7 linked regions of the Mus musculus genome follow. The protein of the gene in region 1 binds, or shares a complex with, the protein of each later gene. Links are inferred from orthologs where the notes say so. Each region holds a gene or a part of one and is shown on either strand. Other genes may lie near its edges.

Region 1 (3,116 bases):
TCTCCCTCTATTGTCTACACCAAGGGCCCTGCTTCTACTATGAATACCTTTGTCTTCTGTTATTCTAAAGTCCCCTTTGATGTAATTTTTGCTAGAAATCATGTGGTTGCCAAAACTATAGGAAAATGGTTTTCTGTTCATTAGGAGTGGGAAGGTGGGTATAAAAGAACTTATACAAGAGTTTACATGCCGGTGGAGAAAAGGCTCAGCAGTTGAGTCCTGACTGATTTCCCAGAGGACCCAGGTTCAATTCCTAGCACATAAGTGGCAGCTCACAACTGACTGTAACTCTAGTTCCTGAGGATCCGACACCCTTACACAGACACGCGCCTAGGCAAAACACTAATGCATATAAAATTAAAATAAATCATTTAAGCCAGGCAGTTGTCAGTACACTCCTTTAATCCCAGTACTTGAGAGGCAGAATCAGGTAGCTCTCTGAATTTTGAGGCCATTTTGTTCTACAGAGTAAGTTCCAGGATATCTAGGGCTACACCCATGTCTCAAAACACACACACACACACCCCAAAAACCAAAAGAAAGCTAATCTCTATGTCTGTAATCCCAGCATTTGGGAACTGGGCATGGTGGCACATGCCTTTAGTTCTAGCACTTGGAAGGCTAAGGTAGAGGGATCTCAAGGCTAGCCAGATCTAACAGTTAATTCCAGGACAGCTACAAAGTGAGACTCTGTCTTAAACAAAATAATCACAAAAAAACCAAACCCAAATGTACCAGTACTCTGGGATATGGAGACAGGATAGTGAGTTCAAAGCTAGCTTGGGCTACATGAGACATCATCTCAGGAAAAAAAAAAAAGTTAGTCCCAGTTATCTTTCCTTCAGTTAGATAGCAATTTCAGTTAGAGGAACCATTTGGAATTGATCTTCACCTGGAAATACCTCTCTTTTGGGTTAAATTTTATTAAATTATTTTTATTTTCAGGCTTTGGGCTACCGATCACTATCAGCCTTTGAGGATATTTGCTGGCCATCTTGCTGATGTGAATTGCACTAGATTTCATCCAAATTCGAACTATGTTGCTACGGGCTCTGCAGACAGAACTGTGCGGCTCTGGGATGTCCTCAATGGTAACTGTGTAAGAATCTTCACTGGGCACAAGGTATGTCACACCTTCATTATTCCAGCACACAGATGCTTCCAAAGTTGAAATACTTAACCAGGAGCATAAACAGTTTAAAAATAATGGTCATGCTATTAAACTACAATTCTACCTCAGTCTTATCAGATAGATTTAACCCTACTTTGCTCGTTTCTAGGGACCAATTCATTCCTTGACATTTTCTCCCAATGGGAGATTCCTGGCTACAGGAGCAACAGATGGCAGAGTACTTCTTTGGGATATTGGACACGGCTTGATGGTTGGAGAATTAAAAGGCCACACTGATACAGTGTGTTCACTTAGGTTTAGTAGAGATGGTGAAATTTTGGCATCAGGTAAGTTATTTCATGGCTGTGGGGTAAAGAAACCACAGTAAACACAAGTATCCATGGGGAGTTGTGACAGCGGCACACTGATGGCTTCCTTTGGCTTCCTTTTAGGTTCAATGGATAATACAGTCCGGTTATGGGACGCCGTCAAAGCGTTTGAAGACTTAGAGACTGATGACTTTACTACAGCCACCGGGCATATAAACCTACCTGAGAATTCCCAGGAGTTGTTATTGGGTACATATATGACCAAATCAACACCAGTTGTACACCTACATTTTACAAGAAGAAACTTGGTTCTAGCTGCAGGAGCTTACAGTCCGCAATAAGCCAACGGTATTAGAGACCTTTTGGAAGCTACTGTTTGGAAAAGGGAGACTAAAAGCAAATACCTCAGTGATTAGTATTTAAGCTACAAAGAATGTTTTTGTCTACATGGATCTGGAAGTATGCTGCTTGGAAAATCTGAACAAGACAGTTCCACGTTTCTATAGCAACCACATTTAACTAATTTCCGTTAGTTGAATAAGAGGTATTATGTTCGTGGAGGGGACATTTATGGTGCTTTGGATTGTGTGGAAACTATGCATTTTTTTTTTGTTGTTCAAATGCTATTTTAATTTATTGTGTTTAGAAAAAAATCAATTTGATTTAAACAATTCATTCTGCTTCAAGATTCAAGTTAAGAAATATAGTACCACCTTGAGTAGCTGAAGAGTTCTATGAACGTGTGTGTGCTGTAATGAGGTTATTGTACGGCACTCAAGCAGCGTGTTCAGTGACCCACTAACATGCTTCCCTTCACCCACCATTAGTGGACTGTATGGAACTGAGTAGGGACCACACTTCCTAAGTCTACATGTACAGCCATCCACCAACATCTCAGTTCCTACCATGTAAGTTTGGCGTGCAATCAAACACTTACAAAGCAGGTGAGGAGATTTAGATTCCACACTCTACTTCAGCTAACATGGCTACATATGACCTAGTACACTTGAAGTCAGACAGACATTTCAGTTGCTTACCTCCAATACTGAGCCTTGCTTTGGAAAACTAAGAGATTCAGACCAAGTCACTGCCAGTTTTTGCCTTTGTTGCATTTTGTACAGTTTTATATTTTTGATATCTTGTAAATAAAGACAACCAGCTTTTCCAGGTTCATAATTTATTGTACAAATTGAGTATTACATGATGAGTTCACATCAGCTTCTTCAGGCATGGGACTTAACAGGTGAGGTCAGACATTTCAAAATCCTATAAACAAAGCAAAAACAGTTTGATTTAAATGTGTTCTACTGACAATCAGTAATCACCACAAATTCCCCAAAGTAAAATGTACATTCACTAGGTTCTCAAAAGTCAGTAGGACATATGTAACAATATATGTGTGTGTGTGTGTGTGTGTGTATACACAGCTCCTTCAGGTTGCCATAGTTTAACGTTCCAGCTTTAACAATTGAAGTAGCTGTTGAAACTGCCAATAGTTCAGTATAGCCTTAAAAGCAAAACTACTGGAAAAACCTAAGTATACAAAGTAACACTTAAAATGTTTGTTAATTTTATGTGTGAGAGTTCTGCCTGCACGTGTGTGCATGTACCACCTGTGTGACATCAGAAGAAGGTTAGCAGATCCACTAGAACGGTTGTGAACCAACATGGGTGCT
Region 2 (4,020 bases), on another chromosome or scaffold:
AGTCAAAACTCAGTCAGCAGGAAATGGCTTTCACGCTAAGGAATGAAACCAGTTAGGACTAACACTGGAGCAAGCTTTAAAAAGTGACTTTTGAAAAAGAGGGTCTAATTTCAAAGTCTCTTCCCTGAGAGCATTCCCGGGCGTGCAACAAGCAGTCCAGCCTTTAGAACTCAGGTCGTCAAGGGCTGACCAGAGAAAGTAGTGGGAAGCCTGGGACCTTTCGGAGAACAACTGCACGGAGCACCCACAGATCCCAAACCCGAGCATGAAAGAGGAGGACCAGCGGCCATCAACATTTACACACGTTAAGGTCAACACGGTTCTGCACATCTAGGAAGGAGTCTGAATGCAGGCAAGCAACACAGAACCTTCATTGGGAGCTGGAAGGCAAGGCTTCCAGGAAGCGCCAAGAAGTAAGAAGATGAAGTGGACACTTGCCTCGAGGTCCCGTGAGACCGCGAAGGCAGGCAGGGACAGGGGGTTGTACTTAGCCAACCTCTACCGTGGACGGAGAGGAGGCCCCGCAGAGCGGTCCTACCTCAGCTGCAAGCCACCACCACGGGCTTCGCAGCCCGGTCTCCTGCCCCCTCCGAACATCGGGGAGAGGTCATTCTAGCCCGGGATTCCCAACCTGGAAGCTTCCGGGCCTGCTCTTGCTCAGAGAGCCTCCTGGCTCGCCCCTTCCTCCTCGCCTCGGCCCTCGCCCCACCCTTTGCCTCTCCATCCTCCCCGTGCCTCCTCATCCCGGGGCAACCTCGGGCCGCAAGCCCTAGCGGCAAGCAGCATCTCCCCCAGACCCACAGCCTCTACAGGCAAAACACAGGGAGGACCCCAACCCCTGGTCTCTCACCATCGCGGGCGCTGTCTGGGCCGGAAAGCGGAAGTGCGGAAGTGCCCGGACCCGCGACGCCTGCCCTTTCGAGAGAGGCGCAGCCGCAGTCTCCGACAGCACTTCCGGGCTGGACCATCTCGGGTAGGACCGGGGAGGGAGAGCCGAGAGATATTCAGATCTCCGGGGCGATTTCACACTGGGACCTCTGGGACTTGTAGAAGACCTGCTATGAGACAGTAGCGGTCGAGTCCCCTTGGATCGCTACACATATTCCGCCAGCGCCTTTAGTGCTTGTCGCTTTGGTTGTAGCCTCCCCCCGTGTGACAATAGTACAGCCCGACCTCAGGTTGGGCACCAAATTAGGACAGGCCGAACCGGAGAAACGTTTCTTCCGGTGGTGCTCCCCTATCCTCTCCGGGCTCCTCCCATTTGCAACCGTAGGGTTCGGCCGGGTAGCCAGTCCCTTGAGATTTGGGCTCTGGGCCCCACCCCAGCCCCGGGCTGCTTCCTAGCCCGGGACTCCTCAGGCCTAGCATTCCACCTCCCGGAGATTCGTAGGTGGCCTTAGACCCCCACCCCCACCCCGGCCCTACAGGCCACCTTGGGCTGGCCGTCCCCGCCCTCGCGTCAACTGCAGGGGGCCCGCCCATAGCCAGTTCCGGAGCAGTTGCTCCGATCGCCCTGAACTCCCCGCCCCCTCCTGCGGCCCAGGGCCTGTAGGAGGCCGCAGAGAGGAGGTAGGAGAGGCGGGGGTTGTGTTAGGGGCTCCCTAGAGGACGAGGACCCTGGAGGCGGGATCTTGGGGCGACACACAGGTGGAGCCAGCCATTAAGCAGTCCCACTTCTGTGCCAGGCACTGAACTGGGCACTTGACGAGCATCACCTCTTAATCCTCAGAACATTCCAGGGAGGTAGGTAATTCTCGATGCCCCCATTTTACAGATTTATACTTCTTAATGGGGAAATAGACTGAGGCATCATCTTTTGTCCTGGAAAAAAGAAAAACAAACAAACAAACAAACAAAAACCGGAGATTCAGGTTAAATAACATGTTTAGAAACGCACATAAGAAAATGGGCTGGAACTTAGTTCTGTTCACCTGACCAGCCTGTGTTCCAAACTAGCCAGGGACACAGAGAAGGTGCAGAGGTGGAATGGAGTGAGACAAGAGGAGGCAGGGAGAACCCTGTCAAATAGAATGCTAGAAACGACCCAACGTAGGGAAACAGAGGACATAGGAAGACAGGGCACACTAGTATCTCCTCTTCCTTAATGCTGCAGATTCCAGACTTCTGCGGTTCAAATTGCAACTAGGAGGCCGGCCTAATCATGCAGGTTTGTACACCTAGTGACTTGGGAGGCTAAAGCAGGTGGATCATAAGTTCAAGGCCTGGAATTCATGAAAGGGGGGGGGGGCTGGATGTAACTGTAACATAATTAAGTTTGGAGAATTTGTGCCTAGAATGAACAAGCGCTTGTATAAATCAGGTGTGGTACATGCCTAAAATTCCATCTCTTGGGAGGTGGAGACAAAACCTTGGCTACATAGCTAGTTTGAGACCAACCTGAGTGCATATCTTTATCCCAGCACTCAGAGGCAGGTGCTTTCTGGGGTGGGGGTCGGGAGGGGGAGCTCTATGAATCCTGATCTATGTAGCAAATGAGTATCAGGCCACTCAAGACTACATAATGAGATTTTTGTCTCCCCCACCCCAAAATGGGGGTGAGGTAGGGTCTGGAGATGTGTGAGACCCTTCAGTGCTACCAAAACAAAAAAAGACAATAAATTGCAGTTAGGAGTCTAGGCATGTGTACATACTCTTCTGGAGTCTTTTTCCTTTCTTTGTCAAAAGAAAGAAACCAGGCAGTGGTGGCACACGCCTTTAATCCCAGTAGAGGCAGGTGATCTCTGAATTGAAGGCCAGCCTGGTCTATAGAGTTCATTCCAGGCCAGCCAGAGTTGTTATACAGAGAAATTATGTTGAATGAATGAATGAATGAATGAATGAATGAAAAGCATGGCAAAAGGCCCCCCTTTTAAGGTTATGTGCATAATTCAGTGAAGTCAACCTAGCTTGGGGTACAGTCAGGGCTCTGTTGGGTCTCTCTCCCCATGCTACTTTGTCTCCTATCCAATGGCCTTCTCCCCTCTAATTTTACAGGGTCCCACCTCCTGGGCCATGAGCGAGCTGAAGGACTGTCCACTGCAGTTTCATGACTTCAAGTCTGTGGACCACCTGAAGGTCTGTCCCCGCTACACGGCAGTGCTGGCCCGCTCCGAGGACGATGGCATTGGCATTGAGGAGCTGGACACCCTGCAGCTGGAGCTTGAGACTCTGCTGTCCTCTGCAAGCCGGAGACTGCGTGTACTGGAAGCTGAAACCCAGGTGATTGTCCATGGGGGGCATCCACTAGAGACATTGTGTCAAGTTATGGGATGGATCCTTAGGTTCCCTCTCTGCTGAGGCCCAGGGATGGATGGGAAGAGAGACCCACATGGGAATCATGACAGAATAGTTAGCTCTCAGTTCAGCTTACCGTTAGCCAAGGATGCTATCCGACTGTAGGTGGACACCGCCCACGTGTGGCCCCTGAAGTTGCCTGGGAACTTTCTGAGATGCACTGTGATACAGTCAGTTGCATAGACAGAACCACCGGGTGCCTTGGAGTGTGACATAAAGGTTAGCTGGGAGTCTTGTTCACCACCACCAAAAAACCCAGCAGCAGCAGATTTCCCCAGGACTACCATGCCAAACCGTTTGTGACTAGCTTGGGCGGCAGCAGAAGTGAATCAGAATGTAGACCTCCGGTTAAATTCATGTGAGAAAATCACAGAGAAGAACAGGCATTTTGAAATATGAGTAGTTTGCTTAATAACCTCAAATTCTAGATCTCAGTTATCCATGGCGGGGAAAGAAGTGCCCTGTCTCTTCTCTCCGTCTCAGGGGTTGTCTTTGTGTGTTTCAGATCCTTACTGACTGGCAGGATAAGAAAGGGGACCGACGATTCCTGAAGCTAGGTCGCGACCACGAGCTCGGTGCTCCCCCCAAACACGGAAAGCCCAAGAAGCAGAAACTGGAAGGGAAGACAGGACATGGGCCAGGCCCTGGCCCGGGACGACCCAAATCCAAAAACGTCCAACCCAAGATCCAGGAATATGAATTTACTGATGACCCAATCGACGTGCC
Region 3 (3,976 bases), on another chromosome or scaffold:
GTCTGGCTTGCTCTGCCCTGCCCTGCCCTGCCGGCCCTGCCCTACCCTGCCCTTTTAAGAATCGGGCCTGGGGCAAGGAAAATTGTTCTCTGGACTGAGCCAAAAGAGGGGGCCTTTCTGATCTTCCAGGAAGAACTATCCCTGACCTTTCACAGTCTACCTCTACAATGGGAAGAAACTGTCTATTTCTCTGGCTTTCCTCCACCCCCACCCCCCCATTAAGGAGTGGGCAGGGAAAAAGATGGAGGTAGGATGGAAGGGTATGAGGTCAGGAATCCTCTCCATCTTCAAAGCTGCCTAGGCGAGCCAGAAGAGGGGACCACCCCCTACCCTCCGCATCTTCAGTGTTGGTCTCTCTGGTTCTTTAGTTCTCAGCACACACAAACACACTCCCCCCCCCCTTTCCTGCCCACTCCCAACACACACACACACACACACACACGAATGCCCGTGCATGAACACACACATTCAACAGCAGCATGGCCCACAACTATGTCTCTTTGTTCTTTTGAAAATAAAACCGTTTCTGTTTAACAGCAACCCAAGTATAGAAAAAGCTGATTGTCACTGGGCAGTGATGGCGCATGCCTTTAATCCCAGCACTTGGGAAGCAGAGCCAGGCGGATTTCTGAGTTCGAGGTCAGCCTGGTCTACAGAATGAGTTCCAGGACAGCCAGGGCTTCACAGAGAAACCCTGTCTCAAAAAACAAAATAAAACAAAACAAAACAAAACCCAAAAACTGATTGTCAAAGTTAATTCATAAGTGTGAACACCACAGTACAAATAGTAGAATTAATGTTACATTTTATCTCTATTGTAGCTGCAAGCCTTAGCCGGCAGCCACAATAGGGCAGGCTTTTGCAATGTGGGAGCCAACCTCAGGCCCAGGCCTGTTCTTCCACCTATGGACTTTAAAAGGGCAGCATCCACAAATCCTCCAGACGGCCAGTGTTCTGGGGTGCCTCTTGTTCCCAAGAGGATAGTAATTGTCACTATCTCGGATGGCTTAAAAAAGATTAGAATGAAGTAATGGTCAAATCTAGGATGCTCAACCAAGCGACATTTGGTTGTCTGGAACCAAGAAAAAAAAAAGTATGGAAGGCCAAAGGATGGGAAGCGGCAAAGGAAGACTACGACTCCCATCGTGCGCCGGGGCCGTGACGCCTGCGCACTGTGCGCCGGTTGCCCATGCGGCCCTAGGGCTGGGAGCGCGGCGCCGCTCCGCTGCGGGGGAGGCCATGGCGGAACCTTCCCAGGCCCCAAACCCGGTCCCGGCAGCGCAGCCCCGGCCCCTTCACTCCCCAGCCCCTGCCCCAACTTCGACTCCTGCGCCCAGTCCGGCTTCAGCCTCCACTCCGGCTCCGACTCCGGCACCAGCCCCTGCCCCAGCTGCAGCCCCAGCTGGGAGCACAGGGAGTGGGGGCGCCGGGGTAGGAAGTGGGGGGGATCCGGCTCGACCTGGCCTGAGCCAGCAGCAGCGCGCTAGCCAGAGGAAGGCGCAAGTCCGGGGTCTGCCGCGTGCCAAGAAGCTTGAGAAACTAGGGGTCTTCTCAGCTTGCAAGGTGGGGGCGGGGCCTAGAGCAAAAGGGGCGGGGCTTGGGGCATCCAAGGTCTGGGGTAGGAATGGGGGGCGAAGCTCTAGCCATAGAGCCGCTCTTGCGCTTGGGATGCAGACAGCATCAGGGAACTGAACCTTCCCCCTCCAGGCCAATGAAACCTGCAAGTGTAATGGCTGGAAAAACCCCAAGCCCCCCACCGCACCCCGCATGGACCTCCAGCAGCCAGCTGCCAACCTGAGCGAGTTGTGCCGTAGCTGTGAGCACCCTTTGGGTAAGGCAGGCACCACCTTTGGAGCTGGGGCGGAGGGCAGGAGCCAGGTCCTGTTTGAACAGGGTGACATAAGTACCACAGAGCTTCTTGGAGACCTTCTAAGGAAATATTGGGTAGGGAATAAATGTGAATGTCCCATGGAAGGAAAAAAGGAGATCTGCCTTGGTAGCAGGTAGCTACCAAGGGCTGATGGGAGAACTGAGAACACTGGGTCTCCCTGTCTGTCAAGAATTGGAGAATCAAGGGTGTGTCACTGGCTAGTTAGAGGAGGTACAGGAATCAAGCCCCGTGGAGCTCTTCTGTTCTTCCCAGCCCTAATGTAACCATCTTGCAGCGGACCATGTGTCCCACCTGGAGAATGTGTCAGAGGACGAGATTAACCGGCTCTTGGGAATGGTAGTAGATGTAGAAAATCTGTTCATGTCTGTTCACAAGGAAGAGGACACAGACACCAAACAAGTCTATTTCTACCTCTTCAAGGTGAGTTCTCATGGAGTAAAGATGGTGAAGCTTTGGTGTGTGTTGGGGATCCTGCTCTCTGAGCTCTGCTACTCCTGTTTCTGCCCATCCCTCTTCCTTACAGCTCTTGCGGAAGTGCATTCTGCAGATGACACGGCCAGTGGTGGAGGGGTCTCTAGGCAGCCCCCCATTTGAGAAGCCTAACATTGAACAGGTAGGGCGGGCATGTAGCAAGATTAAAGGCGACTTAAGAGGGTGGAGAGTCTGGTTTATTTCCTCAAGCTGAGAACAGGGGAGAGGTTCAAGGAAGGGACATGGTGTTTGCTGACCTCAGAGTGGGTGTGGAAGTTGGAAGGGTCAGAGGTTCTCTTCACAGAATCCCTCCTATTTGACATGCCTCTGTTGGCTGTCCACACCTCCTCCTGATTTTGTCCCCTCCTTACTCCTCAGGGTGTACTGAACTTTGTGCAGTACAAATTTAGCCACCTGGCCCCCCGAGAGCGCCAGACAATGTTTGAGCTCTCAAAGATGTTCCTGCTCTGCCTTAACTACTGGAAGCTGGAGACCCCTGCTCAATTCCGGCAGCGGTCCCAGTCTGAGGATGTCGCTACCTACAAAGTCAATTATACCAGGTAAGCCCAGACAGGGCCTTACAGGGGAGGCTTGAACAGCCAGTCTGGCGGTCTCCACCCTCACCTGCCGCTCCACCTCCCCCAGATGGCTCTGTTACTGCCACGTGCCCCAGAGCTGCGACAGCCTCCCCCGCTACGAGACCACCCACGTGTTTGGCCGAAGCCTTCTACGGTCCATTTTCACTGTCACCCGCCGGCAGCTACTGGAAAAATTTCGGGTGGAAAAGGACAAACTGGTGCCTGAGAAGAGGACCCTCATCCTCACTCACTTCCCCAAGTAAGGCTCAGTCTGGCCTCCTGGGATTTTACCCCAAATTCATGTCCTTGCTGTTGTCCCCTTTTTTCCAGGAAGGCTTCCTGGATTGGTCCCTCCTCTCCCTCCATGGGCCTTCTGGGATCTGGGTGTCTACCTGGCAGATTTGCCCATGGCCCAGAAGCTACTTGCTAGTATGTGCTAGTCTGGGGATGGCAGGTACATGGCCCAAGCTAACGCTACCCTCTTTCAGCCCCCTGATAGATAGTTACTAATTAGTTTCCTCTGGGTGTGTGGATATCACCCCAGAGCCCCTCCTACCACAGTGCTCTGAGAAGTCTAGAGTTTACTTTTTTTGTTTGTTTATTTGTTTTTTCCAGACAGGGTTTCTCTGTGTAGCCTTGGCTGTCCGGGAACTCACTTTGTAGACCAGGCTGGCCTTGAACTCAGAAATCCGCCTGCCTCTGCCTCCCAAGTGCTGGGATTAAAGGCATGCGCCACCACGCCTGGCTTAGAGTTTACTTTTGAAGTGAAGCCATTACCTATCTCTGTGCCTCTGTTGTTCCACATCTTCTTCCCATTTGAATCTGGGAACAAGCATGTGGGAACAAGAGGTGACAAGATTGGCTCATTCTAGACCAGTCTGATAGAGAGGGGACTAAGGCAATTCAGGTGACTGGGTGGGTGCCCTGCCTAGCCACACAGCATAGGATGGCATCCGCTCAGACCCGTTCTCCTTGGCCACACATCATGACAAAATTGGGTCTCCAGTCTCTATCCTGGCTATGTCCTATCCTGAGC
Region 4 (4,018 bases), on another chromosome or scaffold:
CTGGGACAAAAAGCATGGACCACCACTGCCGAGCTTTGGTTTTCTTGTTTTGACTATGTAGCCCTGGCTGGCCTCTAACTCAAAGAGATCTTCTGGCTTCTGCCTCCCAAGGCAGGGATTAAAGGCGAGTGCCACTACACTTAGCTCTTTCATAATTTTAAAATATTTTCTTATTATTGTGTATGGAAGCCAGAGGACAACCTTGCAGACTCTGTCTTCTCACCTTTCACTTTTTATACAGGTCCCAGGGATTGAACCTGAGCCTTAGGCTTATTCCGCTAGAGCTTTTATTGACTGAACCATTTCTCTAGCACATCTTTTGTAATTTAAAAAAAAAAAAAAGAAGAAGAAGCAAAAAACGGCCGGGCAGTGGTGGCGCACGCCTTTAGTCCCACCACTTGGGAGGCAGAGGCAAGCGGATTTCTGAGAACGAGGCCGGCCTGATCTACAGAGTGAGTTCCAGGATAGCCAGGGCTACACAGAGATACCCTGTCTTGAAAAAACCAAAAAAAAAAAAAAAAAAAAGCGCAAAACAACCTTCCAACCCAAACTACATATATATATTGCGTATTAACGGAGGCAGGAAAGATTGCTCCGTGGTTAAGAGTATTGGCTGCTTTTCAAGAGACTTGAGTTTGATTCCTAGCCCCTATATAGCGGTTCACAATCGTCTATCTCTAGTTCCAGGAAATCGGTTGCTCTATTTTGGCTTCTTTGGTGCTGCACACACATGGTACACATACTTGCCGGCAAAACACCTATTTACATAAAAGAAAGTAGATATATAATTATATAATAATATAGATACTATATATAATATCATGGGGCTTGTGTACTTGAGTGGATCAGCCCCAGAGGCAAAAAGTCATCCTATTTTTACAGGCATTTGTGAGCCTCCGTAAGTATGCACAAATTTATCACTTATGTTTTCTGAGACATGGGCTCATGAAACTTGAGCTGATCTCGAACTCGAAGCCCTCTTGCCTCTGCCTGCCAAGTGCAGAGATTTCCCGGCGTAGTATACCACGCCTGGCTTCTTTGTAATTTTTAATTCCTCCTTCAGGATTCCACACGTAAGAGCACGTCACTGACTTCCAGCCAATCCCAAGGCCGGGGTTGGGTAGGAGAATGAACGCGCACGCCTCTCTGCGCAACGCTGGCCAGGCCGGAAGTGACGTACGTATCTTATAAAACTCGCCAGCCGCCGGTGGGCGGGTTCAGAAGGCTGGCGAGCAGCTAGCATGGCAGATGAGGAGGAAGACCCCACCGTGAGTGAGCGCCTGTCTCAGCCTGGTTCCTCACTCCTTTCGGATCACTAGCGGAGGCAGAGTCTGACCCGCTTGTGCCTTAGGGATTCCCGCCGAGAGTCCGGGGGCTCCGCGGTGTTTTCCTTTTTTGGTTTACCTTAGTCAGTGCGTGGGACAAGACGGGAAGGAAGAGTAGAAAGGGTCTCTCTTTGACCTGGATCTTCCCGACACTAAGACATCTAGAGGGTCATAGGAGATCAAAGCTGATTAAAGCGGAACCAGCAGCCCAGATGCTGACAAAACTAGTGAAGATAGCGGAGAAACGATGAACTAAAGACAGGAAGCTTGGGATCCAAATTCTCCTTTGGCATCGGTTTTCTTGTGAGGTAGAGTCCAGCCCAGTTAAGGAAAGTTCTTAGCCCTTTATCAGTTGCTTCCGATGACAGCAGAGAGTAGATTTTAAACTACCAGGTTTTTACAGTAGTCTTGCTTAGCAGTGTGACAACTAAATTGGCTAAAACCAAACCCAGAACCTGAGGTCGTTAGAACTTTACACACGCACGGTTGTAAGGTTGTTAGCAGCCGTAATAAAAGCCTTCTTGCACGACTTGAGAATTGGACTAGGGCTTATGAGCCCTTTGGTGCTAAATTTTCGTGGTTTTGTGCAGTTTGCTTTAGCTTCTCACTTTCGAAAATGAAAAAGGGTCACTGGGCGTGGTGGCGCACACCTTTAATCCCAGCACTCAGGAGCAGAGGCAAGCGGATCTCCGTGAGTTCAGGCAGACACGGGCACATAGTGAGACCACTTTGTCTCAAAAAAAAAAAAAAAAAAAGTGTAGAGAGATAGCTTTAGTGCTTAGGAGCATTTGCTGTCACATCTGGCAACCTACAGCGATTAGACCTAGTTTGGCCTCTATGGGCAACAGCAGGCACATTTATGTAGGCACACAATACACATAAATAATAAATGCCTTTAAAAAAAAAGATGAAAAGAGTGCAGGAGGTGTAGCTCAGTGGTCAAGCATCTGTTTAGCATCGTGAGCTCGTGGGTTCAATTCACAGCACTCCACAAAGAGGGCGAGCAGGAGGAGACTCGAGGGAATATCACGTGCACTGCAATCATTTGCCATGTCCGTGTTTTAAAATTTCTAGTTTGAGGAGGAGAATGAAGAAATTGGAGGAGGAGCGGAAGGTGGCCAGGGGAAGAGAAAGAGACTTTTCTCGAAAGAATGTAAGTTGTACTTTCTAGTGTTTTTATTACAGGTGGTGAAAGCTTTTGAACATGTCTTTTCAGAGTATATTGTTCTGCATATGTTTGTTTATAGGGACAGTGTTCTCAGAGTTGCCTATAAGGTTGCCTGTTTTTATTCTTGGTGTTTGTTTGTTTGTTTGTTTGTTTTAAAGATAGGCTCTGTATAGCCAAGGCTATACTGGTGCTTACTGTTTAGCCCATGCTAGCCTTGGTTTGGTGGTAGTCCTGCTTTAGCCTCTCAAGTCCTGGGATTGCAGGTGTGCATCCCATGGTCAGTATAAGTCTCTCTCATGTCTACTAATTCTCTCTGTGTGACATAAAATAATGAATGTGATCACCTCTGCCCTCCTCCTTGAGGCAGGGTTTTTTTGTTTTGTTTGTTTTTGTTTTTCTTTTCCTTTTTTGAGGCTTGGTTTTTCTGTGTAGCCCTGGCTGTCCTAGAACTCTTTCTGGAGTTTAGAATAGATCAAGATCTGCTAGTCTTGAACTCACAGAGATGTGCCTGCCTGCCTCTGCCTCCTGGGTGCTGGGATTAAAGCTGTGAACCACCACCACCCAGCTGAGGCAGGGTTTTTAGATCCCAGCATGATTTCAAACTTGGTATGCATATGCGTATAACCTTGAACTTGCAAGAACCTTGCAAGAACCTTGAACTTCTGCTCTCCTATCTGTTTCCCTGGCTCTAGATGTACAGGCATATGCCATGGCTCCCAGTTGACATTTTGAACGTTGTATCCCTCTTGTGTCCACCTTTCAAATGATGTAAGTTGAGGCTTTGGACTAAGGCATAGCTCAGGGCAAGAAGGTGGTGAAGTGTGCTGTGGAGATGACAGTGCACTAGCCTTCCATGGTGCTCCTTAAACAGACAGGTAGCCCTTGGGGCAGCGCAGGGTGAGCGGTGTCCACTTGTTGTGCCCATACTAATTCCTGAAAGGCCCATGAGACTGCACTCTCCATCCCTTCTCCCAGGCTCCTTGGCTGAGCCTTGGGAAGTACAGCGGCAGAGATTTATAAATGCCTGAGTACAGTAGGATTGAAAAATTCTAGAAACTGCAAGATCAGCCTTTAACTCTCTAAATCTTTTTTGATCCCAGCTCTTGGGAGAGATAGGGATGGGAGAATTTGAGTTCAGGGTCTTCCTCATTGAGTTTGAAGGCAACTTCGGCTGTATCTTACAACCATAACAGAAATCCTCACTAGTACCTTCCAGTTTCGTTCAAGTCTGACCACTTCCCATTCTGTCTCACTGATGCTAGTTACGTGATTTGTGTGTGGTTTTACTCCTTATGTGGACATATGAAAACGACCCTTACACTAAAGTGCTCTAGGAATGGTATTCACCCTGCTGCTTGTCCAAACCTTTAGTTCAGTTTCAACTGCTCTACTTTTGTGATGACAAAAATTTGGAATCTTCGCAGGCTTCTCCCACTGACTTAATAGAATCTTCATGTCTCTTCTATTTTTGCTGGGGTTTTTTTTGTTTGTTTGTTTTGTTTTTGTTTTTTGTTTTGGACAGGGT
Region 5 (4,277 bases), on another chromosome or scaffold:
GAAATAAGGGCTCAAATAAAGATGTTAAAATCTTAAAGTAAATTTTAAATGATTACAATTTAATCAGATAATCTATCTATGATGGTATAATATAAATAAAAGCTGTTCATAAAAACTCAATGATGGGGCTGGAGAGATGGCTCAGCGGTTAAGAACACTCACTGACTGCTCTTCCGAAGGTTCTGAGTTCAAATCCCAGCAACCACATGGTGGCTCACAACCATCTGTAACAAGATCTGACACCCTCTTCTGGAGTGTCTAAAGACAGCTACAGTGTACTTACATATAATAAATAAATAAATCTTAAAAAAAAAAACTCAACGATGAATGAAACAGAAAAACCATATATTTGTGCACTTACCTTTTATTATAAAGAAAAACTAATCCCATATAAACATTTTTATTTTTATGCTGAAAATTGTATTTCATGTCATGCTACCAAGTACTGTGGATTTACAATTTAAGGGGGAAAAAATGAAATGAGACTCATTAGTCACTTTGGATAAATGTATATATTGGAAGGTGCACCCATCTATTTTAGAGTTGTAGGTACACACAAGCCCACACGCTGAAAACTTTGGCACCCAATAAAACAAATCATCTTCTCCTATCTAATTTAGGATTATGGCCTGACCTTTCAAAGGGACACAAAAACGTCTGCTTAAGAAATTATAGTTGTCGAAATGAAAGATGCTCAATGATCAGGGCTCTTTGAAAACAAGACTGACAGTCACCTCCTTCGATAAACAAACAACCGTCTCTGATGATATCAGGCTCGGGAAACGCGCCGGAGATAACGAGAACTTCAACACTACCCCTAGCCTATCCACCTCCACCTCACACACTGCACAGGGGACAGGGACACAAAGCTCACACGTCAGTCCTTAGGTGTTTCTGCAATCACCAGTGAGCGGAGCTGACACCTCGCACCATGGCTCCAGGCCAGGGCTCCTCACCTACATCCTACACCAGTCCAGACTGGAGGGCGGGCCGGGAAGGACACAGCCCAGGTATGCGTGAAGACACAGCTGACCTCACGCCTCTGGGATATTAATAAATCAAGCGGAAGCCGCGGCGTCCTTACTTTCCGGGAGCTGCGTCCCCTCGCGGGCGGAAAAAAGCGGAGAACCGGGGCTGTACTTCGCCACCCAGCCCTCCCGGCTCAGCCGCAGGCTGTTGGAGGGCCCGCCTCCTGGGGACCTTCCTCACGGACGGCGCTTCCGCGACGCAGCCAGAGGGGAGGGGCCGGCAAGCGAGCAAGGGACGTAGGCGTCCAGCGCACTGCCTGACCCGAAACGCAGGCGGGTCTCGGGGCCCGGCTTCCCACCATTAGATGGAAGCGTAGGACCCGAGGCCAGCGGAGTTCCTGGTGCGTGCCGAGGTAGGGTCTGAGTGCGTGCGAGCCCGGCGGAGGGCCTCGAGGGAACCTAGCCGCGTACAGGCGCACGAGACCGCCCCTCCGCACGCACGCCCGCCCTTTCCGGTTCCTCCCTGGCAAGCGCGTCGGGGCGGGCGCGTGAGCGGAGGCTTTGGCTGCAGGGGAAGGAGGACTATGAAGCTTCCGAATATCCTGCTCACCGGTTAGGGCGCGCAACGGGGTCGGGTCGGGCCGGGCCGGGGTTTGCCGAGGGCTGTGAGGTCCCGGGGGCGCTCCGCAGGCCGCGCGGCGTGCCGTGTCGGCTGGCGCGTCAGGACCCGGCGCTCGCGACCGTTGGGGTGGGGGGCGGGGGAAGCGGCGGAGGCGGCGGTTCGGTTGGTCAGACGCCGCGCCGAGGAGAGGGAGAGCGGCAGGCCGGCTCCTGCTCTCCCGCTGCCCCGTCGCTCCGCCGGACGCTTGGCCTTTGTCAATCTGGTATCTTTGCCTGGAGAACGGGCTGCTGAGCCTTTGTCGCGGTCGGGCTTGGGGTTTTTAAAAATCGAGGTGCGGTGAGGCAGTTTTTAGCCGTTAGGAGATGTGGTGATGGTGGGTACCCCAGTCTTTGGGCCTTCTTGGTCGTCACCTTCTTATTTTATTTTTTATTTTTAGATACCCCTTTGCTTTTGAGAAACACTTCCCGAAAGGTTTCTGTAGATGATTTTTGGGATGCTTGTGAAGAGACGTGACTAATGAACTGTTACTTTGTTCGGTTCGCGCCACGGGCTTTGTTGTTGTTTCAGTGTTAAGGTTTCTGAGCGTTTGTGGTGATCTGGAGCTGATCGTGGGTGGGACGTTTCGGAGCTTTAATAAGAAAGGTTAAGTTGTAGCGTTTAGTAGCGTCATAGGCCAGTTGTACAAAGATGGGATGGATATAGATAAAGATGCCATCACTTTACTGAAAAAAGTTCAGCTGCTGTTTTGTCAGGTAACGAATCAGGTGAGGTTGTTGTCTGTCTTAGCTCTGCAGGCTTTAGCTTTGAGATTCCTTAGGAACATTTTACAATATCTGATTTGCATGGCCAGACAGTTTCTTGGGGCTTTCAGATTCTGAAGCCAGTAGGCTGCAGAGAATGCTGTAGATCAGTTGGTAGACTACTCACTAGTAGGCAGGAAGCCCTGGAATCAGGTCCCCAGAACAACATAGACTAGATGGGGTGGCATATGTCTGTTATTCCAATACTAGGGAGGATGAGAAGTCAAAGGCCAACCTAGAACCGTGCCGGTTGGCGGGAGGGGGGAAAGCAGTGGGGAGGGACGGACAAGAGTTACATCATAAGAACTCTGTAGATCTGAATGGGAGTGTTGAATACAGAAAGGGTTCACGAGCGCTGAGTAAGAGTTGGGATTGATGTGTTCTTACAGTGGAAGTATATTTTTTTTGACTATAGAGACATGATTTTTCAGGATTTCTTACAATGTTCAAGTTGACATAAGTTTGAACATTATGCATTTGATTGTCTTAAGGGTATTAGCTATAAGCAGGGCAGTGGTGGCACAAGCCTTTAATCCCAGCACTTGGGAGGCAGAGGCAGGCGGATTTCTGAGTTCGAGGCCAGCCTGGTCTACAGAGTGAGTTCCAGGACAGTCAGGGCTACACAGAGAAACCCTGTCTCGAAAAAAAACAAAAACAGGGGGAAGTGGAGGGTATTAGCTGTAAAAGGAGAAAAGCAAACTATGTATAGTGTCATTTATAAGGGTATCTATGCTGTGTGGATATATACAGTGTGTATGTATACACTTACTTAAATACACACCAAGTATCCCTTAGATACACACAAACACATAGAAAGTTAAGTAAGAAACTGGTTTAAAGTAGCTCCCTCTGGGGAAGGTATTTCTGTTAGGGGAAATGGTAGTAATGGTATTGCTCATACTAAACTTTTTTTCCATTGAATTTTTTTTTTTAAGATTTATTTATTATATGTAAGTACACTGTAGCTGTCTTCAGACACCCCAGAAGAGGGCATCAGATCTTATTAAGGATGGTTGTGAGCCACCATGTGGTTGCTGGGATTTGAACTCACGACCTTTGGAAGAGCAGTTGGTGCTCTCAACTGCTGAGCCATCTCTCCAGCCCCATTGAATGTTTTTTTGGGGGGTGGGGGTTTGTTTGGTTTTTTTGTTTGTTTGTTTGTTTTGGTTTTGGTTTGGTTTGGTTTTGGTTTTTCGAGACAGGGTTTCTCTGTGTAGCCCTGGCTGTCCTGGAACTCACTCTGTAGACCAGGATGGCCTCGAACTCAGAAATCCACCTGCCTCTGCCTCCCCAGTGCTGGGATTAAAGGCGTGCGCCACCATGCCCGGCCCATTGAATGTTTTTTAAGCTTTTTATTAACGCAATAAGTGATAATAGTGTATTTGAGGTGCCTAATTTTTTTGTTTTGTTTTTTTGTTTGTTTGTTTTTTTAAGACCGGGTTTCTCTGTATAGCTCAAGCTGTCTTGGAACTTACTTTGTAGACCAGGCTGGCCTTGAACTCAGAAATCCGCCTGCCTCTGCCTCCCGAGTGCTGTGATTAAAGGCATGGGCCACCACGCCCGGCAAGGTGTCTAATTTTATGCTGGGAATTTTGTTGTTGGCAGGCAGAATTGGCATCAAAATTGCTGCAGTCCTATCCCTGGAGATTAGGATATAGACACTAGTAGACAGTAATTTCTGGAGAATTTTTTGGTTGGTTGGTTTGGTTTGGTTTTGAGATAGGGCTTTCCTATGTGGCCCTGGCTGTCCTGACACTGTGTAGCCTAGTCTGGTCTTGAAGCCCCAGAGACTCTCACCTGCCTCTGCCCCAAGTGCTGGGATTAAAGACGTACACCACCATACCAGGCTTTATATCAGTTAAGAACCTTAAGGGCAGAAGATGGCTG
Region 6 (4,104 bases), on another chromosome or scaffold:
AGCCCCAAGGCTCTTCCCCTTGGTCTTTACTTCTTCCAGCGCTGAGACTGGGCCTCATGAGAACCTGCCCCCTGAACAAGCTCCTCTGGCCTTCAAGCCTGAAAGAGCTGCTTCAGAAGAGGCCTTCCCCAGCCTGTCTGTTCATCCACATTTTCCGTGTTTTAGTTCCTGAGTGCTGGGCTTCTGACTGCGCTGCACAAATGGGCACAAACACTAGCTGAGCTACACTACAGACTCTACAGACCGGGCTTGCATTTCCTTTTTAACAAAGTAAGATAGAACAAAGCCAAAACACTGAAGTTGGACAAGACAAACCAACAGAAGCAAGTGAAAGGGCATAAGAATCAGAGACCCACTCGTTCACACTTGCAAGTCCCATAAAAATACTAAACTGAAAAGAAAACTATATACATAGAGGACGTGGTGCCGCCCCATGCTGGCCCAGACCCATGCTGGCCCTGTGCTTGCTGCTTCAGCCTCTGTTCATCTGAGTTCATCGGAGCTTTGCTCAGCTCATTTAGAGGGCCTTGTTCTCCTGGTGTCCTCCTGACCTCTGGCTCTTATATTCTTCTGCAGGGTTCCCTAAATACAGCCCAGATTTCAAGAGCTAAAGCAAGCGCAGTGCTGAGACTAACACTCTCACTCTTTTCAGTGTCTCCTCTGGAAATAAGTGCTAGAGGACTGGTGTGAGGAAAGAAAGGCTCTCAGAAGCAGTGACACGCAGGCCAGAGATCAGTCAGTAGTCTTGACTGAGGTGAGAACACCTCAGGCAGAAGAAAGGAAATGATCAATGGACTCCGCGTGAGCTCACAGAGAGCCATAGACATTGTCAGGCCCTGCAGGCACTGGAGTGTAATCTAAGAAGCAGAACTGAAGTTGCTGAGGGCCAACAAGATGCGGCTTATGCTCCAAATGCCCTATGTTCATGTGTGAGAAGGGTTACAGAACAGAAGGAAGAGAACGGTAAAACCATGAGAAGTGATCACGAGAGGTAAGCACCATCATGGGTCAGGCCAGAAGAGTAGGTCAGTAGCTACATTATGCACATCTTTTCAATACATGACCACTGACCAATTGGATGTGGTTGATGGCTTTAGGTTGGCTCTGTGTATAACTGAGGACAAGTGAGTCTTCACAGGCAATCAGGTAGAGAGGGATCACCAGGTATGCGACAAGCTCCAGAAACAGAGCATATGAATGCCACACTTTCAGCACTGAGGCTCTTCTTCAAGGTCCTTCATGTTGCCTGATCTGTACAAAGCATATGCGCAATACACACCAATAAACACCACTTAGAGACAAAGTAACCCATTGTTTTTAGAGAGCAGGAGCCAGTGTTGCTCACTGGTAAGACATCTGTGGAGTAGACTCCTTCCTAAGTGGGGAAGTGGGTCCAGAAGGTCACTCATTCTACGACGATCTGAAACAGGAGGGCAGTAGGGTTGGAGTAGGGGAAGCTCGGGGAAGCTAGGGTCAGAGGGCCCTAACATACCAGGGAAGAGTCTGGACAGGAGAGGGTCATGCCGAGCTCCCTGCTTCTCTGAAAGCTTGAAGATGTGACATATTCTTGGAGGCAATGGTGACAATGCAGCCAGATCTCATCCCTAACATAGGTGAGGAATAGAAAGGAGAGCTCCTTAGAGACAGCCAGAGAACAACCAGGAGCCCAGCACACTATCTGGCTGGCACACATGAAGGCTCTTACTACCAGTGAGCTACCTCTACAGAAACCTGACAGCTAGAAAGCAGACCCCAGGATCCATGCCTCTTCAGGAACACGCCTTTGTTCATTCTTTACTGTCCACCCATCACACCATGTCCTGGGTGCTGTGGAGACTAAGACTTAAACAAGATACTGCTACTCATTGAGAACCTTAGCACAGGGCACATGCTGACACCCACAGAAAGCACACGAAGCCCTGAATGCAGACTAAGTGCAGGCGGGACGGGCAGCCCCAGGCTTCTGGCCTTCCCCACCACTATGCCCAGGAGAACACAACCGTACTAGGGGAACTCAGCAAAGGACAGTGGGATCTAGCTTGCTGCCATCTGACTCAAGGATAAGCCTGGCAACGCACAGGGCCTACCCTCTACCCGCGTTCAATGCACACCTCTTGAGGACGAGTGTGAAGGGCAGACAGCTCCGTGTCGGGGCAATGGGTCAAGGCCCTGCTCTACCAGCTGTGTGACCGCTGGTGACCAACACGTTCCGGACACAACCATCCGACCACCTGCGGCCCTCCGCAACGTACACCGAGCCAGCCAGCCATGCCCTCCCTTCTAGCCGTAGCCCGCCGCTCACCCAGTTGCCGAAGCCGAACTGCTCGATGGCGTCCAGCAGCAGCTGCTCCTCGCGGCTGGTCCAGCCGCCCTCCGCCTCAGGACCCCAGAGTGTGAATCGTCCGCCGTCTACCAGCTGGTAGCCGTGGTAGCGGCGGTGGTGGCCGATCTCCGCGCCGGCCGAGAAGCACTCGGGGCACAGCTCGATGTCCTGGCACTCTGTGCAGCGGAAGCGCAGCGGGCTCACCTCGGCCAAGCAGTACACGCAGTACTTCTTACCCAGCTCCGCCATCTTCCCCCGCTCGCCCGCCGCCCGGCCCGCAGCCGCCGCGCCCCCGGCCGTCAGCGCCCCGCCGCCTGCCGGGCTCGCTGCGCCCGCCGCGCCCGTGCCGCTGCCGGCCGCTGCCACGGCCGCCCCCGCCCAGGCGCCGCCGGAGCCGGCCAGGCGGGCCGCGTCCCGCCTCAGCACGCAGGCGCCCTCCGGCCCGGCCCGGCCGCCGCCGCCGCAGCCGCTGTCTCCCCGCCGCATCGCGCAGGCGCCCCCCGCGCGCCCTCTCGCGGACAGCCGAGTCTTTGCTCTGCGCCTGCGCGCCGGCGCCTCCCGCGGCCTCATGGACTGGAGGAGCCGCGAGGCCCCGCCCTAAGCCTGTCAGCCGGCGGGGCGCGGACCGGAAGTAGGCCGTGCGGGCCACGCCTCTCGGGAACCAGCGTCCAATTAGCGCCTCCCTTCACCTGTTCGCAGATCTTCATTGGCCTAATATTGCCGGGAGGTGGAGAGAAATGGAAGGCGGGTGACCAATCGCGGGGCCCACCGCGCGCCCTGGTTGCCCCGGGAAACCTAACAGCAGGCATCAGCCGGCCTCAGAGCGGGGCCGGCGGGTCGAAAATGGACAGCCACTACGGGGACATCGAGGGCAAAGACCGAGCCGAGGAAGGCCTGGCCAGGCAGTCGCTCGAGATCAAGGTTAGCTCCGAACCTCTGACTCCGGCCAACCCTGTAGAGCAGGAGCCAGAGCCGAAGCCAGAGCCGGAGCCGACGCAAGGGCGGGAGCCTGAGAGCGAGACCCAGCCGGTGTCGGACAGCTCAAAAGCGAAGGATTCGGAGGGGATCGATTACGCGCATGTTGAGGTCCCGGAAAGTCCGGGGGCCGCTGAGACCGCGGGCGAGGCCGTGTCCCGAGAGCCAGAGAGTCTGCCACAGACCCAGCCCAAGACCAAGCCGGAGTCCAAGGAACCAGAGGACAAAGACGAAGACGAGGATGAGGACGAGGATGAGGACGAGGACGAGGACGAGGATGAGGATGAGGATGAGGATGAGGGAGAGGAACGGGACAGGCCAGAGAAGCCGAAGGGCAAGGGGAAGAGGGAGAAGAGGAAGGAGTCACGGTTCCGGCCATCTCTACCGCTGACCACAATTGTTGAGGAGGGGGCTGCCCCAGGCCCACAAGCTGCGAAAGAGAAAGCAAGGGAGTCACTGAAGAAGAGAGACAGTGAAGAGATCGAGGGGACAGATCGAGAACGACACAAAAGCACAGAAGAGCAACTTCACCCTGGAGAGGCCAAGGAAGAGGAGAAACAAAAAGGGGCGTCCACTGAAGAGTTTGAGTGGACAGCGGACATGCAGAAGCTGCAAGAGCAGCAACTGCGCGGCGAGCTGGTGGAACAGTACCACTCCCTGCTAGTGGAGCGGAACCGTTATCAGCGCTACAACATGTACCTACAGCAGAAGATTCACGAGACCCTACGCAAGAAGGGGCTGGAAGCAGCGGCGGAACCTGGGGACAAGAGCGCTGAACCCGAATCTCCCGAGAAAGAGCAAGCATA
Region 7 (3,500 bases), on another chromosome or scaffold:
CACCTGTAACTGAGTGTCCTCACCAACTGTACCATCAGTGGTACCAAAACTGACTGGTTTTAAAAAACACGTGGATAGGGAAGGCAGGAGAACATGGCAGACAACTATGTGGTCTTCCTGAATCCCTTTAAGATGGGGTAGATGTTTTCAAATGCTTCATAAATCTCTGCTCTAACTTTAGCACCTACAAAGACACATGGAACAGAAATGAGATGGTTAAGAAGTAGCATCATTACCTTAAAACATAAATACAGTTCTCTCTATACCTAGTTAAGACAAACAAATGGTGGAATCCCCTTATCACCATCCTAGCTGTACCCACTATTCTACCCCCTTTTTTTGAGACAGGGTTTCTCTATGTAGCTCTGGCTCTCCTGGAACTTGCATAGACCATGCCTCTGCCTATGAATTACTAGGATTAAGGGCCATGCCCAGCTAGCTCTCCAGCTATGTTTTTAGAACAGTATTTTCTAAGTGTTTTAAAAAGTGATACACGGGCTGGTGAGATGGCTCAGTGGGTAAGAGCACCCGACTGCTCTTCCGAAGGTCCGGAGTTCAAATCCCAGCAACCACATGGTGGCTCACAACCATCTGTAACAAGATCTGACGCCCTCTTCTGGAGTGTCTGAAGACAGCTACAGTGTACTTACATATAATAAATAAATAAATCTTTAAAAAAAAAAAAAAGTGATACACTTAGCGACTTTTAAACACCCTAGACCATCATTTCCTCACTATATAGTTGGTCTGAGATCAGGATCCACAAGTCAGCAAGACAATATCTACTTCCTACTCTAGTTCCTTCCCATACTTGGACCTGAGTGACATGGTATCTGACAAGCACTGAGGACTGAAATCTTATTCTCCCAACTGTTGGTATTCAATTGAGCTCTTCTCAGTCTTGTAATCATACTCTACTAACCCCCAAGGTGCAAGGGCCAACTGAAAACAGTCAGTGTCCCATCCCTGCCTGCTCCCACAGTCAAGCTTAATCTAGCTGACGGCTACATCAGCAGCAGGCCTCTGCAGTTCTTCTCATTCTTCTACCCTTCTCAAGAAGGTTAGAATGGTGTGCAAAACTTAAAAAGCATCCTTACACATGGCTAGACAACTGTTCTAACACAGAAAATGCCACCCCAACATCCTTTGCAGTTTCATCCACTTCCTTTCAACTTACCTGTTAATACAACTTTTCCAGAAACAAAAATAAGGAGAACAATTCTGGGTTTGATCATTCTGTAGATTAATCCAGGAAATAATTCTGGCTCATAGCTAGAAAGAAAATGGGAATACAGTTTAGAAATCACCAGTTCTTTGTGTTTCTGAATACAAGAGGCTTTGTGCCAGAAAGTCCTGAGTAAAGAATCCAGGTGTCACAAGTAGGACACACAGGAAGAAACCAGCCAGGAGCCATGAGTCATGGACATAGCCACCAACTACTAGCTACATGTCCTCCTATCACTTAATGCTATCTTCAGACTCTAGAGGTTCTGTGATAAAAACAAGAGTTGTATACACACGGTCTGAGCCTTATTTAGATGCAGTTAAAGCTAGTCTAGTTATAGCACCTTATCAAAATCTCACCATTCACTCCTAAGCTAAGAGTGGCAGTCAGCCCTGTAATCATCTCACCTTCCTGAACAGAACTCTCCTGGAGATGCCTGCTTTTCTAACAGGTGCCTTAACTAGAGTGAGAAACCAGACATGAGCTTGGCCATGAACCGACTCCCTGGTCATACCATCTATTCGAACGGACATTAGTTAACATACTCTAACACAGCGATTTCAGGTTTCTTAGTTCAGTCTACAAAAGGATCTGCCTTTCTTGTGAGTGATCCAGAGATAAACTCAGGACAGGTCTATATGAGGAAGACAACATGAGTGAATTCCTGAAACTCAAACAGGAGTTTCTATGATGAAAATTGTACCCAATATGTCAGGGTTAAAAGTGACATGTGCAGAGGCCATGGAGCAAGAGGAACCTGGTGAGTACGAGAGAACTGGTAAGCTCAGTGGTGTGGCTGCAAAGAGAAAACAGATGTTATAAGGATGTGAGTAGGGATGCTCCACCAATATTCAGGCAGAGAAAGGCAAGAAATAATACTGGGCAGTCTACCTCTGCTGCTCATCTTTACACTGTGTTGGTATGCTGACAAAAAAAGATTCAAACTAGGAGAAAAGTGATAGAAGAAACTACAAATTCATGTATTTACATCTACTTACTGACTAACAAAATGGTGAGGCATACATACAGAGGTGAGCTAAATCATTCCAGTGAGAGAGTCTGGGTGTCATGTGACTAAGGAAATAGGGATTGTAAAGACAGTGGAGAGTGCAGTAGCTCAAATGTAGCAATACCTTAACTTAACTTGCAGTTATGTCATACATGCTTAGAAACTGCACATCTTATATGTACGTCATCTGAAATGATGCCTGAGTGGGTTATAAATGGACTGTTGGAAAACTACTCCCCATACTACTTAGACCTACCTACTGAACTGCTGGTGGGTCAGCACAAGGCCTTCCAGCCTTATAGGGAACTTCACATCACAGCTCCCCACCATGTTCTGGATCTTGAAGTCTAAGAACTTAGCTGGGAAGCCCAACTTCTGCACAACTCTAGCATATTTTCTTGCTGCTAGTCTGGATTGTTCTTCACTACAGAAAGGAAAATCAGTGAGTTATATATGGAAGCCTAATAGAGTAATTTAGATGAATAACAAACAGAGTCTAAATTAGGAAAGTAATTAAACTATCTCCGTGTCCTCAACAGAAACCATAAACCTACCAAAACATAAGCCTTCTATGTGGCACATTACTGTCAAGCCCTCAGATTTAAAGGACTCGATGTAGTGTGTGGTTCAATTAGCATGGCCACCGTCATCACCTCATTATGACCTATAAATCTCTACTGAAATGAAAACTTCATCTTTATAAAAAAAATTAGTAAAATGTATTATTGGGAAATACAAATTCTATCTTCCTTTACATCAAATCTCTATCCATTTTTAGGACACCACTATTGGATAAAGCTATGATTTTCCAACTCAAGAGTTTTCATTTGAATATCAGAATGCGAATGGCAGTGCTACAACCAGAGCCCAGGAGATCAGGAGTAACAGTGTGGGGCACCAAAGCTATGCAGAGTAATCAGAGCAAACCATTCAAAAATAACATGAAAAGTGCTAGCCTGATAACAGAAGGACGCTAGAGCCTTTTTTCTTTCATAATACACCCACTAGAAACAAAGCATTCCTTAAGGATACCTCTTGGCTCCTGTGCACACCATTTTTCCAGAACTGAAAATCAACGCAGTTGTCCGTGGCTCTCTTATTCTCATGATGACTGCAGCAAATCGCTAAAATGGTCAGAAAGAGGCATTAAAAAGGTGTGAACGAAAGGGTAAAAAGAAAAGCTGTCTTCATGATGACTGAGGAAACAGAGCTGTGGTGCTGTAGGTCCCAGGTCAGACTATCTTTGCTACATCAGATATTCTTACC

What was found.
Region 2: Taf5 (region 1) and Tada3 share a complex: the UniProt entries of both Homo sapiens proteins name them as parts of the TFTC-HAT complex. The link is inferred for Mus musculus from reciprocal best matches to the Homo sapiens genes TAF5 and TADA3.
Region 3: Taf5 (region 1) and Kat2a share a complex: the UniProt entries of both Homo sapiens proteins name them as parts of the TFTC-HAT complex. The link is inferred for Mus musculus from reciprocal best matches to the Homo sapiens genes TAF5 and KAT2A.
Region 4: Taf5 (region 1) and Taf13 share a complex: the UniProt entries of both Homo sapiens proteins name them as parts of the TFIID basal transcription factor complex. The link is inferred for Mus musculus from reciprocal best matches to the Homo sapiens genes TAF5 and TAF13.
Region 5: Taf5 (region 1) and Taf9 share a complex: the UniProt entries of both Homo sapiens proteins name them as parts of the TFIID basal transcription factor complex. The link is inferred for Mus musculus from reciprocal best matches to the Homo sapiens genes TAF5 and TAF9.
Region 6: Taf5 (region 1) and Tada2b share a complex: the UniProt entries of both Homo sapiens proteins name them as parts of the TFTC-HAT complex. The link is inferred for Mus musculus from reciprocal best matches to the Homo sapiens genes TAF5 and TADA2B.
Region 7: Taf5 (region 1) and Tbp share a complex: the UniProt entries of both Homo sapiens proteins name them as parts of the TFIID basal transcription factor complex. The link is inferred for Mus musculus from reciprocal best matches to the Homo sapiens genes TAF5 and TBP.

What each region holds. Positions count from the first base shown.
Region 1 is NC_000085.6:47,080,864-47,083,979, forward strand, and holds the end of Taf5 (transcription initiation factor TFIID subunit 5), read left to right. Parts: intron 1-945; coding exon 946-1,123; intron 1,124-1,280; coding exon 1,281-1,458; intron 1,459-1,563; coding exon 1,564-1,781; 3' UTR 1,782-2,616; downstream 2,617-3,116. UniProt on the Homo sapiens protein: The TFIID basal transcription factor complex plays a major role in the initiation of RNA polymerase II (Pol II)-dependent transcription.
Region 2 is NC_000072.6:113,375,039-113,379,058, reverse strand, and holds the start of Tada3 (transcriptional adapter 3), read left to right. Parts: upstream 1-1,220; 5' UTR 1,221-1,743; intron 1,744-2,113; 5' UTR 2,114-2,161; coding exon 2,162-2,167; intron 2,168-2,994; coding exon 2,995-3,219; intron 3,220-3,799; coding exon 3,800-4,020. Other genes in the region: Arpc4 (actin-related protein 2/3 complex subunit 4), read right to left, coding at 851-853. UniProt on the Homo sapiens protein: Functions as a component of the PCAF complex. The PCAF complex is capable of efficiently acetylating histones in a nucleosomal context. The PCAF complex could be considered as the human version of the yeast SAGA complex.
Region 3 is NC_000077.6:100,709,668-100,713,643, reverse strand, and holds the start of Kat2a (histone acetyltransferase KAT2A), read left to right. Parts: upstream 1-1,176; 5' UTR 1,177-1,239; coding exon 1,240-1,563; intron 1,564-1,707; coding exon 1,708-1,831; intron 1,832-2,165; coding exon 2,166-2,311; intron 2,312-2,414; coding exon 2,415-2,504; intron 2,505-2,740; coding exon 2,741-2,922; intron 2,923-3,007; coding exon 3,008-3,199; exon of another isoform or gene 3,200-3,394; intron 3,395-3,976. UniProt on the Homo sapiens protein: Protein lysine acyltransferase that can act as a acetyltransferase, glutaryltransferase, succinyltransferase or malonyltransferase, depending on the context.
Region 4 is NC_000069.6:108,570,481-108,574,498, forward strand, and holds the start of Taf13 (transcription initiation factor TFIID subunit 13), read left to right. Parts: upstream 1-1,218; 5' UTR 1,219-1,241; coding exon 1,242-1,268; intron 1,269-2,399; coding exon 2,400-2,478; intron 2,479-4,018. UniProt on the Homo sapiens protein: The TFIID basal transcription factor complex plays a major role in the initiation of RNA polymerase II (Pol II)-dependent transcription.
Region 5 is NC_000079.6:100,649,866-100,654,142, forward strand, and holds the start of Taf9 (transcription initiation factor TFIID subunit 9), read left to right. Parts: upstream 1-1,477; 5' UTR 1,478-1,552; coding exon of another isoform or gene 1,553-1,580; intron 1,581-1,741; exon of another isoform or gene 1,742-1,852; intron 1,853-4,277. Other genes in the region: Ak6 (adenylate kinase isoenzyme 6), read left to right, coding at 1,553-1,580. UniProt on the Homo sapiens protein: The TFIID basal transcription factor complex plays a major role in the initiation of RNA polymerase II (Pol II)-dependent transcription.
Region 6 is NC_000071.6:36,481,486-36,485,589, forward strand, and holds the start of Tada2b (transcriptional adapter 2-beta), read right to left. Parts: upstream 2,801-4,104; 5' UTR 2,573-2,800; coding exon 2,303-2,572; intron 1,605-2,302; exon of another isoform or gene 1,523-1,604; coding exon of another isoform or gene 1,493-1,522; intron 1-1,492. Other genes in the region: Ccdc96 (coiled-coil domain-containing protein 96), read left to right, coding at 3,167-4,104. UniProt on the Homo sapiens protein: Coactivates PAX5-dependent transcription together with either SMARCA4 or GCN5L2.
Region 7 is NC_000083.6:15,513,388-15,516,887, reverse strand, and holds part of Tbp (TATA-box-binding protein), read right to left. Parts: intron 3,359-3,500; coding exon 3,267-3,358; intron 2,659-3,266; coding exon 2,491-2,658; intron 1,273-2,490; coding exon 1,178-1,272; intron 185-1,177; coding exon 105-184; 3' UTR 1-104. UniProt on the Homo sapiens protein: The TFIID basal transcription factor complex plays a major role in the initiation of RNA polymerase II (Pol II)-dependent transcription.